Neurospora crassa OR74A: one gene and its partners. The protein of the gene in region 2 purifies or fractionates together with the protein of the main gene of each other region. This does not show direct contact. Links are inferred from orthologs where the notes say so. Each region holds a gene or a part of one and is shown on either strand. Other genes may lie near its edges. The genes, in order: NCU07956, NCU08968 and NCU07058.

What was found.
Region 1: the proteins of NCU08968 (region 2) and NCU07956 purify together in Saccharomyces cerevisiae (affinity purification with western blotting; 3 studies listed by BioGRID, with this or other methods). This does not show direct contact. The link is inferred for Neurospora crassa OR74A from reciprocal best matches to the Saccharomyces cerevisiae genes DIM1 and PNO1.
Region 3: the proteins of NCU08968 (region 2) and NCU07058 purify together in Saccharomyces cerevisiae (affinity purification with mass spectrometry; 3 studies listed by BioGRID). This does not show direct contact. The link is inferred for Neurospora crassa OR74A from reciprocal best matches to the Saccharomyces cerevisiae genes DIM1 and UTP14.

Annotation. Positions count from the first base shown.
Region 1 is NC_026504.1:1,226,181-1,229,876, forward strand, and holds NCU07956 (pre-rRNA-processing protein PNO1), read right to left. Parts: upstream 2,385-3,696; 5' UTR 2,134-2,384; coding exon 1,838-2,133; intron 1,770-1,837; coding exon 1,462-1,769; intron 1,399-1,461; coding exon 1,229-1,398; 3' UTR 625-1,228; downstream 1-624. Other genes in the region: NCU07957 (hypothetical protein), read left to right, coding at 1-128; pod-1 (mitochondrion biogenesis protein), read left to right, coding at 2,813-3,696. UniProt on the Saccharomyces cerevisiae protein: Required for small ribosomal subunit (SSU) synthesis. Has a role in the processing of early nucleolar and late cytoplasmic pre-RNA species. Recruits DIM1 to nucleolar pre-RNAs.
Region 2 is NC_026505.1:5,864,675-5,868,422, forward strand, and holds NCU08968 (dimethyladenosine transferase), read left to right. Parts: upstream 1-1,347; 5' UTR 1,348-1,595; coding exon 1,596-2,384; intron 2,385-2,442; coding exon 2,443-2,818; intron 2,819-2,880; coding exon 2,881-2,912; 3' UTR 2,913-3,118; downstream 3,119-3,748. Other genes in the region: NCU08967 (arrestin domain-containing protein), read right to left, coding at 1-782; NCU08969 (hypothetical protein), read right to left, coding at 3,472-3,748. UniProt on the Saccharomyces cerevisiae protein: Specifically dimethylates two adjacent adenosines in the loop of a conserved hairpin near the 3'-end of 18S rRNA in the 40S particle.
Region 3 is NC_026506.1:332,682-336,429, forward strand, and holds the start of NCU07058 (small nucleolar ribonucleoprotein complex subunit Utp14), read right to left. Parts: upstream 2,252-3,748; 5' UTR 1,995-2,251; coding exon 1-1,994. Other genes in the region: NCU07057 (hypothetical protein), read left to right, coding at 2,703-2,891, 3,032-3,154. UniProt on the Saccharomyces cerevisiae protein: Involved in nucleolar processing of pre-18S ribosomal RNA.

The DNA of each region.
Region 1 (3,696 bases), on a different chromosome or scaffold from region 2:
GAGATATCAAGCCGGAGCAGACTGTCGTGATACAGTTTGACGGCGAGGAGCTGAACGAGAACATGCTGGTTGGGGCGATGGACATTGAGAGGGACGAGACCAATCAGTTTGAGGTCTACATCAAGTAGTGTATGACCTGGAGAATAAACATGGAGACTGGGTTTTGGGAGACGTTATTCGCACATTTCTTTAGCTGTTATGGGGTTGGAGTTTACCGGGCTTATTCGTCAGGCCTACGAAATCGGCGGTGACTAGTGGATTATTGTTTTTGCTTAAAGTTGTGACAGATGATTACGGAGTTTGGAGTGTTGCAAGTCCTTCCAGGACACGGTTCATGGTGCGGAGGTGGTACCCTAGCTCTTCAGAAGATACCCATACGTATATCACTTTTTGCTACGTCTTGCCTTCACTTTATTTCAACAAGCTTGATGAGTCATGGGAGTTGGTCAGTCAGAGCACAAAAAGAGCCTCCTCGGGTTAAGATGGTCTCATCCCACCTATCGTAGGTGAATATCGAGGGGTTTGACTATGCTCTATCTGCTATTTCGATATACGGTTCGCCATCTGGACTGTAAAACAAACAAGACCTTTACTTATGCGGAACAAGCGAGATAAGAGAATGGATGGAAATAACTACTACTTGTATGACCTGAAGAAACCAATCTATCGTGGCTCACCTGGCTACATTGGTGCCCATCACATCAGCTCCTTACATTTTGCTTGATTTGCCGTCACCATGGAATTGAACCTCAACCAAATGAGCGCACTGGATCAGTTTCCCACATCACTTTCTCTGCACAATAATCGACCTTGCCAGCCAATATGCACTAAACCGCCTTTTGGTGAATATCTCTGTTCATTGTCTTCTCTTCTCGTCCTCCGGGTATAGATCATAACCACACATTGAAAGATTCGCAAGGCGGTAGCTCCCCAATATCCCGTCCTCTTCCTCCCGCTTCTACACACCTTCGTAGATATCCCCAGCATGACTGACTGAATCGCCCATTTCAAACTCTCCAAACTCAAAGCAAAAGCATAATGAACTCCTAAACGCCAGAACCCTTTTTAAGCGTAGCTCCCGAAATGCCACCTTCGCCCCTTATGTGATGAAAACCGTCGATTTTTTGTTGACTGAACCATGCAGCCCCGTGCGTGAACCATTCATTAGGTGAGAATAGCGGCAATAGAAGTGTAACACATTGTTGCCGTTTTTCGTGAAAGAAAGAGCTTAGAATCTCTCCTTTTGCCTCGAGGCAATGATCCGGAGGTTGTTGTACACCTTGCCGGGCTGGTGTCCGAGAATGAGGGAGACGACGGACTCGCGGGCCATGCCAATGTTCTCGAAGGCACCGAGGATATGAACGCGGGAGCCGGCGAGGACGATTCTGGTTTTTGTGGCTTTTCACATCTTGTCAGTACTTCTGCGTCATCTCTTCCATTCTCCCATAATGGTGAACGTACCATTCTCAATCGCAAACTTGGTCTTTCCGTCCTTGCCTGCAATACGACCAATCGCACGTCCCAGAGCATCGGGGCCAAGGGTCTGACGGACATCCTTGACATCGAAGGACTGGATATAGAGCGAATCGAGACGGAGCAGGGCAATGGCGTCGTCAATGTCGAAGCCCATGGCGAAGGCGGAGACGAAATCGGCACCCATCTGCAGGGATTCGGGGGTGGTGGTGTGTCTGCTGGAGCGGAGCTCGACGCGCTTCTCCTTGATGTTCATGCGGACCTGGAGCTTGCAGTGCTCTACAAGTGGGGGGTAGCTGATTGGAAAACAGTCAGTCTTCCTTGCCCAAACATTCACACATGTTTCCGTAGTTTTCCGTCTCACATCTTGGTCCAATTGGCCTTGAGGGCCGACATGCGGTTTGGCGGGATACCAATTTTCCTGGTCTCTGCGCGGCGAATGATCTGGACGTCCTGGCCGGGGGCGAAACGGGGGCGGCCCTCCTCGTCTACAGCCATCTGCACATCTTGGTCATTGGAAGGGGGAGCGGCGGCGCTGGGATCGGTGAGGTTGACGGCCTCGTTGACATCGAGAATGAGCTCGTCCTCTTGCTCGGTCTGGATAGGAATCTGGGCGGCGGGAGCCTTGACAGGCTGACGAAGTGCTGTTGGCGCAGGCATGTTGGGCGAGATGTGTTGTTTATCGGTGGGTGATGGTCAAGGGGCCGAGTCGGGTTGTTTGTTGATTAAAGTCGGTAGTATTTTGGGAAATCGCCGGCCAAGAGTAATGGCAGATTTTTCGAAAATCGGGTGGAGGAGAGACTGGTGACGGGCGACGAAAGAAGTGTCGGGATGCTGGGTTACAGTCGTGAATTGCGGAGATCTGGGAGTCGAAGTTCTGCCTTTTTGCGCCGTCGGTCTCTAGAATTTTGATGTTTATCGATTTTGATAGCGCAGAGGGGAAATTCTTGACAAAAAGCAGTGGATCCACAAAAGAGTACCCAAGTGAAGCTTATCGATTGGCTGCATGGGGGCTAGGACCCTTGCCAATCGCAACGCCCATGCACTAACAGTTACCGAGGAATCCCTGTAATCCCAAGGTTAGCGTCATTGACGCACTTTTGACGGGGACCTGGACCGGCAGCTTTTTCAAACTCCAGGTTCTTGGTCAGAGCAGGAGCACCATCATATGTCATTCTAGACTCGGCCCACCACCAAGCAACAACATCTGATTTTCAGCCTCGAGGACCGACCATGGATACGGCACCGAGCTGTCGTCATCACCATCGTCGCTGAAAACATAGGAAAAAAAAAAGGAACAGGTCGGTCCCTTACTCGGTCGACAGTATGAATTTCAACAATGTCTACTAGCGCTACGACGACCCAGCTGGGCCGCCAGCTATGGTCTTCAGTACGAGATCTTCACACCACCTCGAATCTCTTCACAGCCGCGATACTGCTTCCAACTTGTCAGCCATTACTGAGTCGTCAAAGTCTTGGACTTGGCCCCTCGACATCGCTGGGGTCCCATCAGCGATACGGACAGCAGCAGAGCACGCGACAATTTACCTCTTCCGCAAGTCGCTTTTTCTTCCCAGCAACAAAATCGCAAAGACTACACTATCAACAGTCACAACCATCCCATAATGTCCTACGAAGCTGTACCTCCGGAGGCCTACTCCTCCTTGGGCTCACCACCAGCCCCTCTCCAACGAGCACGGTAGAGGCATCCGCACTATCCGGCAATGCCGCGCAAAAGGCAAAAATGGGCCACTTGGCTCGGCAGGCTTTACTCTTGCGAAGGATACGACAGAACACCACGACCACAACGTTATGCAAGACAGGAAAGCGATTCCAAAGTTCGGGCAAAGAGACCAAGGGTGATCATGACGAGACCAAGGCCGAAGCCAAGTCTTCTACAATTTCTCCTCAGCAAAAGTCCGAGCAACCACAGCAGCCACCGAATACCGAGACGGCTTCCGGTTCTGGTTCCCAGCCGACTCCCGCACATGAATCAATAGCAGATTCCATGTCTAAATACCTTCACCTTCCTCACCTCCCCCATTTGCCTCATCGGCCCACAAAAGAAGAGCTTCTGGCGGCAGCAAGCGGGTTCTGGTCGCGTCTCAAGGTCCGATTCAAGTGGTTCTCCATCAGGAGCATGCGCCCCTGGAACGCCGACGAATGGGGAGCGTTTGTGTCCTTCTTCTTATTCGGTCATTTGGTCTGGATTCTTGTTGGCAC
Region 2 (3,748 bases):
GCTGAAGATGACCCTGCATTGCTACTCCCAGTCCACCCGCTGAAGAAAGAAGCTCGTTTCTTGGAAGACGCGTTTGTCCTTGGGCTTCGTGGACGGAATGCAAAGGGTCGTCTGGCATAGGCTTCGTGGTTCGTCTTGGGCGGCCTTGGAGGCTCAATAGGAAGGAATTTCAAGCCGGTCTGCATCCTCCAGTTCTCCTTGAAAAAGCCCGGTCTCTGAATGGTAACCTTGACATAGTATCGAATCTCGCACTGGCCTGGGAATCCGGTGAAACTGGGTGGGAGCGTCTTTGTGACATGGGAGTACATCAGCTGCTTGGTGCCGTCCATAACACGAATGCCACCGAGACCGAACAAGCCAGAACCCGACGCGATTCCACCGGCACCAGAAAGGCCTCCTAGTTTGGCCATGGCGACAGGATCACCACAAGCATTGTTGAAGGGAAACTTGAACTGGAAGGGGAATCTGTGTTGACCAGCGGCTAGGACATAGGGCTGTGGCAAGGCGTTGGTCTTCTCGTCGGGAAAGGCCTGGGTGACTTTGTATAGGATCTTGTGGTTCTCGTAGATAACATCGCCGGTTGGAGTGCGCTCCCTCTGAGCAATGCCGGTCCCTGAGCCATCGGCGGGTACTCCCAAGGCCGACTTGGCTTCACCCTCGAGTTTGACGATGATGCCTCCGATCTGTTCGGGACGACTGAGAGTGAGGACGACCTGGCCGCGGATAATATCCAGGTTTGTGTAGAACTCGGGAGGGTTTTCGAGGGCGATCCGTATCGACATGGTTGCGATTGATTATCGTCAACTTCAACAGAGAAATGAGGCTATCACCACATGAACCAAAACAACAAGGAATAACCAGTGGGTCACACGCCCAGGTATGAGCCAAGGAGAAGATGATGGAAAAGAATCTGTTATTTTTTTTTTACAATCCGATTTCCTCGAACCTTGGGAGGGGGTTGGTATTATAGGTAGGTAGATGAAAATTCAAAGCCACTGCCTGTCTGCTTCGATGTGATCAGCTTCACACGGCAGTTAGGTGATGACGGGGAAGACCCTCACTGAAAGACCGGAGGATTTGCCGTTTAAGTGCTGGGTAGCAATTTGAACCCGCCGCACATGTTTAGGGCGGCCTCCGCTGTTACGTCAGACGGGGAATCATCGGTCGGAAGTGGCCGAGGTGCCTGGATTCCACTGATGTTTCCAGTGGGCTGGGCCGCCGCCGCCGCCCGCATGGTGTCTCAATGGGGAAAGCGGTCAGCCTTTTGCTTATCTTATCAGCCACATGTCTGGCGGGGCATCTTTTTTTCTGCCGCCTGATCCACTCAAAAAAAAGATGTCGGCCGGGGTCCGGCGCAGGCACAAGGAAGCTCTCTTCAGCCTGCGGTACCTCTGTCCGTCTCACAATAGAGGTACATACTACAGCCATTGCGCGACTGCCGTGACTTGAGAACGAACCGCCCAAGTCTCGACCCGGACAGAGATCGACCGAAACGACGAAACCCTCCATCGATCCCCCAACCTTCTCGTCCGACCTCGATTCCGAGTCGTCTTCCTCCACACACCTACCCACGACAGCATTGACTAGACTACACCATGCCCAAGGCAGCGAAGGCGTCCAAGAAGTCGGGGGGCGGCGGCAACCCCTACGATCGCAAGGGGGGCGGCGGCGGCGGCAAGGCTACCAACACCAACATCTTCAAGTTCGACAAGGACTTTGGCCAGCATATCCTCAAGAACCCCGGTATCTCGGATGCCATTGTCGACAAGGCCTTCCTCAAGCCCACCGATGTCGTCGTCGAAGTCGGTCCCGGTACCGGCAACATCACGGTCCGCGCCCTTGAAAAGGCAAAGAAGGTCATCGCCATCGAGCTCGATCCTCGTATGGGTGCCGAAGTTACCAAGCGTGTCCAGGGCACTCCGCTAGCCAAGAAGCTCGAGGTCATTCTCGGCGATGTCATCAAGATGCCCGAAATGCCTCCATGCGACGCTCTCATCTCCAACACTCCCTACCAAATTTCCAGTCCGCTCATCTTCAAGATGTTGGCCATGCCCAACCCGCCCCGCGTCGCCGTACTCATGTTTCAAAGAGAATTCGCAAAGAGACTGGTGGCTCGGCCGGGTGATGCTCTCTACTCGAGATTGAGTGTCAATGTCAACTTCTGGGCCACATGCAAGCACATCATGAAGGTCGGCAAGCAGAACTTCAAGCCTCCTCCCAAGGTCGAGTCCGACGTCGTCAGAATTGAGCCCCTTGTTGGTTCGGCGCGCCCCAACATTGCTTTTGAGGAGTTCGACGGTCTCCTTCGCATTGCTTTCAACCGCAAGAACAAGACCCTTTATGCCGGCTTCAACCAGAAGGAGGTCCTCAACATGTGCGAGAGGGTACGTTTCTTCCCATGTGTTCACAAGCTCCAACTCTTACTGACCACTTCGTTTCCAGAACTACAAAGTCTACTGCACCCTCAACAACATCCCCATCGACGAGTCCCTCGCTTCCGCGGCTGACCTTGCTGCCGCCGGCGCCACCAACGATGCCATGGACGTCGAGATGGACGACGACAACGAAGACAATGATAACGAAGAGAACAACGACGATGACGAGGCTATGGAGGAGGATGAGGACGAGGACATGCCCGTCTTCTTCAAGGAGCAAAACGACGCCAACGCTAAGGACGCCAAGACACCTAGCAAGAACCCCAAGTCCAAGGTGGCCTTGATAGTCAAGGCCAAGTTGAACAAGGTGCTTACGAGCACCGGTTTGGCGGACAAGAGAGCTAGGCAGTGCGATCAGAACGATTTCCTCAAGCTGTTGCTTGGTACGTTTTCTTCCCCCTCGGCTTCCCTTTCTGATGGACAACCTCGCTAACACTCCTGACAGCGTTCCACGAGGAGGGTATTCACTTCTCTTAGACGTGTGTTATTATTGCGAACACGCACAGAAATCATCGGCGTACGGGGCGTTTTTTGGGGATTGGGAAAATGTCGTTTTTTAAAAATTCTTTGTTTTGTTCCATTTGTCGTGGAAATACCATTGATCTGGATGCTAGGATTTGCACAATCATAAAAGCCAATGAATCTGGCTGCCACTTTTGCCAGGAATCGAACCATAATCATCTTTCGTTTGGATTGCTTGAGCGTCGGATGTTGTTCTCTTCGTCACGTTGCTCAAACATTGCTGAGAAGCAATTGCTGACAATACCAGACCTACCGCATCGAGATGTCTTTTATAATAAAACCATGGATCGGGGGAGTGGTCAGTGACCTACGGGACCGAGTCCTTGGAGTAACAGGGAAACGGAAAGCACAGGAGAGCAAGCTGTTTTCCTACCCTACCTCTCTCAGTAACAGGCGCCGAGTGCGTCGTTACCAAGCCAGAAAGCGTGGAAGCCTTCTTTCGATAGCTTGTCAGTTGTTCAAAACCATTGAAGAGGGGCAAAGAAAAAGAAGAAGAACAAATGGTGACCGCAACTTATATTTTGGAAAGCACGACACTGGATACTAAAATGTGTCGCCGTTCTTGTCCTTCTCTCCTCCACTCCTCCATTCTTCGACCTCCATCCTCCGCACCCAACACCCATAGCCCAAAAACCACGAAGGTCTCAGCACCCATGCCATCGCCGGCGTCCCCATCGGGAGAAACACTCCAAACAGCCATCCCCACGGCTCCCGTAAACAGCAACCCGACCACTGGATCCATCAAATGAAGCAACACCCTCCCGGCTCTTCCTGGGTTGTCCGGCGGTCCC
Region 3 (3,748 bases), on a different chromosome or scaffold from region 2:
TTGGACATGTCGTTTGTGATGTTCTTCTTCTCCTTCTTCTTCTGAGCAGCCTGCTGGCCGGGGAGTATGATCTCCGTCTTGCCCATACCGAACTGCCTCCGACCGATGTCCGTCTCTTCGACATCGTCAGAGTCGTAGTCGGAATCGAGGTCTCGGCGAATCTGCGCAATCATCTCATCGTTCTCCTTCCTCTTCTGGGCTTCGCCGCGTTGCATGAACTTCATCTGCATCAGCCCCGACTCGACCTCGCCATCCGCGTAGGAAGCAGCGTGCTCGAGCTGTTCCAGCAACCGTTTCTTGTTCTTCTTCTCATCGCCAGACTCGGCAGAGTAATCGTCGGAACCACTGTCTTCAGAATCCTCCTCGCCCTTTCTGCGTCCCTCGATCCGGCGGCGCAGCTCCTCCTTCTGGCGAGCAGCCTCTGTCAACCCAGCGCGGAAGTTGTCGTCCCACACTGCGCGACCGGCCTTCTTGCCGAGCTTGGCCCACTTGCTGTCCCGGTGACGAGTACCGACGCGCTCGAGGGCTCGCCTCCTGTCCAGAGCCTCGCGCTCCTCTTCTGAATCAATCTCTCCCGCCTCAACCATGGCATCATGCATCTCCTGCTCGTCGTGGAGCAGCTCCTTGCGATGAATGCGACGGTACGCCTTGGACTTGATCTTCTTGATGCGCTTCTGGCGGGCCTGCTCGCGCGAGAACAGCTCACGCTCGCGGCGCTTCTGACGGGTGATTTCTTGCATCTCAGCGGCCGAGAGACCCTTGCGAGCGGCAATCTCCTCGACGTTATCCTGGTCCTCCTTCTTGGGCTTGTTAGTGGGTCCCAAGCCGGATTCCTCCATGATGGCCAAGATGGTCTGTTCGAGCTCGGTACCCGCCGTGGCCTTGGTCACGGGAAGGAGTTCTTGACTGTCGAGGCCGGCGTCGTGGGCATTTTGCGCGAGGGGGAAAACCAGGTGATCCGCACGGCGGTTGTGCTTGACTGTGTCGATCCAGCGCTCGAGCGTCTCGGAGGTCTTTTCGTAGGCGGCGGAGCGGAGGAGCTTGTCTTGTTGCCTCTTTGCGAGGGGGATGTCGAGCTTCTTGGATTGCCCAGGCTTGGCGGCCTTTTCCTCCTTGTTCATGAGCTTGAGAGACTTCTTCATGTGGGGGTCCTGGACGCCAAGGAGGCCGAGATCTGAGAGACTGAGTTTGTTTGTTGGTTTCGAGCCTGATTGCTCCTCGTCGTCGTTGTCGTCGCCCGCAAACCCGGAGATCATCTTTTGGAGGTCGTCGAGCTTGGAAGGGTCTTCCATATCGTCGTCACTGTCTTCGCTTTCGCTCGATTCGCTGTCCGCGTCGTCTTCCGATCCTGACTCCTCTTCGCCCTCCTCCTCCTCGCTGCTTTCATACTGATCCAGTGCTGTGGCGAGATCGATGGCGTCGGAACCGAGCGACTCCAAGTCATCGTCCTCATCTTCGTCCTCTTCCTCCTCATCACTGTCGTTTCCACCCTTCTTCGCCTTCTTGCCCTTCTTGTTGGAGCTGCTCCCGCTGAAGGCATAGCCATCGAACTTTTCCTCGTCGCTCTCACCAAAGGCCTCATCAGAGTCGAGTTCGGAATCTTCGTCATCAGCGCCTACACCAACGTGCCACTCCTCGCCATCGCTGTCCTCGCCACCGTCGGAGAAGCCTTCGAAATCGTCGCTGTTTTTGGCCTTCTTCTTTTGTGGCCTGGCGTCCTCGAGATCTTCCTCATCCTCGTCTCCGTCCTCATCGTCTTCGTCGTCGCCATCTCGTTGTCTCTTCTGGGGGCGCTCTTCGGGCTCGTCGAGGTCTCGTGTGCGGACGCCCTTGGCTTTCTTTTGGGGGACTTGTTCGGCGGCAATAGCGAAGGCGTCGAGGACGTTGTTTCTGGATTTCCTATCGGCAGTCTTGTTGTTGACTCTGTGCTTGGGACGCCCTCCGCCGCCCGACTTGGGCATTAGAGGCCTGCCGTGGGCTTGACGGCCGGGCATTTTGCTGGTATTTGAGAATTGACTGATTGGAAGTCGGAAGGTAATTCAGTCAATTAAGTTCGAGGTCGAGCAAGCAAAAATTGGGTGATGAGATTGTCGACGAAGTCCAGTGGTTGGATGGAATGAATCGATGGATGTCAATGTCCAACTTTTGCCTGCACGGGTCCTGGAGGTCGAAGTGGTCAGGTCCCTTCAACGGCAACTCCCACCAAGCCTTCAACTTTCTGCCAGTGAACAAGCTCCCCCGAAACTTTTTCTGCCGCCTCTGTAATCGATAATTTTCGGGCGGTGAGGGCGCAACACCCACCCATTTTGCGGGGCCGCAGCAGGCTACAGGGGTACCTGTTTCTCCCAGCCTCACGTCATTGGCTCAATTGAGCTCCAAACTTCTGAAATGGCTCCACCTCAACCCGGCGCGGCCCCGGACGTCTTTGCGATTTCTCGATTCCAACCCCGTCGCCCGTCGCCCGTTGCCCGTCGCCGTCCGTGTTGTCCAGCGCCAGTCCGAGTCCGAGTCCGAGTCCCGTCTCCGTTCCTGTCGCGTGCGCCGGATCTTCAACACTCTAAAGCGGATCCCGTCTCCGTCCCACTTGCGCCCACCTCAACCACCCTCACCACAGCGAGGTGCTTCCACCACCCAGATCACCGACCACAAAAAGCAATTCTCCGTCGTCGTTGCCCCGCAAAGCGCAATCCTCCTAGCCCACCATGCAGCCCACTCGCATCCTCCAAGGTCTCAAGTACCGCAAGTTGCGCCTGACCACCAAGGACGTCAACAAGGGTTTCTACAAGGGTAACCGCACCGGTTCCATGGGTACGCACACCAGCTACGGTACCTACAAGATCGACTACACCAAGGTCCGCACCTATGTGTGCCCGGACCTGACCGGTTTCAAGGTGGGTGGTCCTCTATTTCCGTCCGGGTTTGGGGTTGGAATGGGATGTGTTGGGGGATCTGGTGCTAGGGGAGGGACCGAGAATGGAGGACAAAAGAGAATAAAAAAGAATTATGCTAACAAGATCCAACAACAACAAAGCTCACCCCCTTCGTCTCCAAGACCATCCGCCCCGTCCACGACCAGTTCCCCGGCGACAAGCTCGGCCCCAAGAACCCCGCCACTTACCTTGCTCGCTGGAAGTCGGAGAACGGTCTCGACTAAACGGTCGTCATTTTTTCAAGGAGGGAGGAGGAGGACATTACGATACCAGACCACGGCGAGGAAATGGAGCGAGGCTCACTCAACTATCAAACTACCAAACGCAATATATACCCAAGTTCTGATTACATTCCGAAAGCCTGCCGACACAGACCCGTTCGAAGGACCACGAGCCACTCTCCACTGTACATTATATGACCTGACCACCAGGAATCAACCACCTAGCAGCTCCACTGTTCTGGGTCATATGTGAAATTGGAACATGTCCAGGTTCTCTGCCTTTGGAGTCGCCACGCTGCTACCTAGGCTGATGGTCTCGACATTCCTACCATTGAGATACAGCCTGATAGCTAACCATACGTATTCAAAGAACACTCGCCTTCAGAGCTGCCTACGATACATCTCCCCTTTCGGATTGGTTCTTTGAATTTTGATGTCACGATGATCTCGCCGTCACATTTCTTTTCTTCTAGAAGAGACAAGGCCGATTTATATGACTATACCCAAAGGTGTCCAATGGTCCCTGTCCGAGATTCAAGGGGGTCTTGTTTCAGTTGTTAGATTATTGAGGGAGCGAGATCGGGGATTTTAATAGGG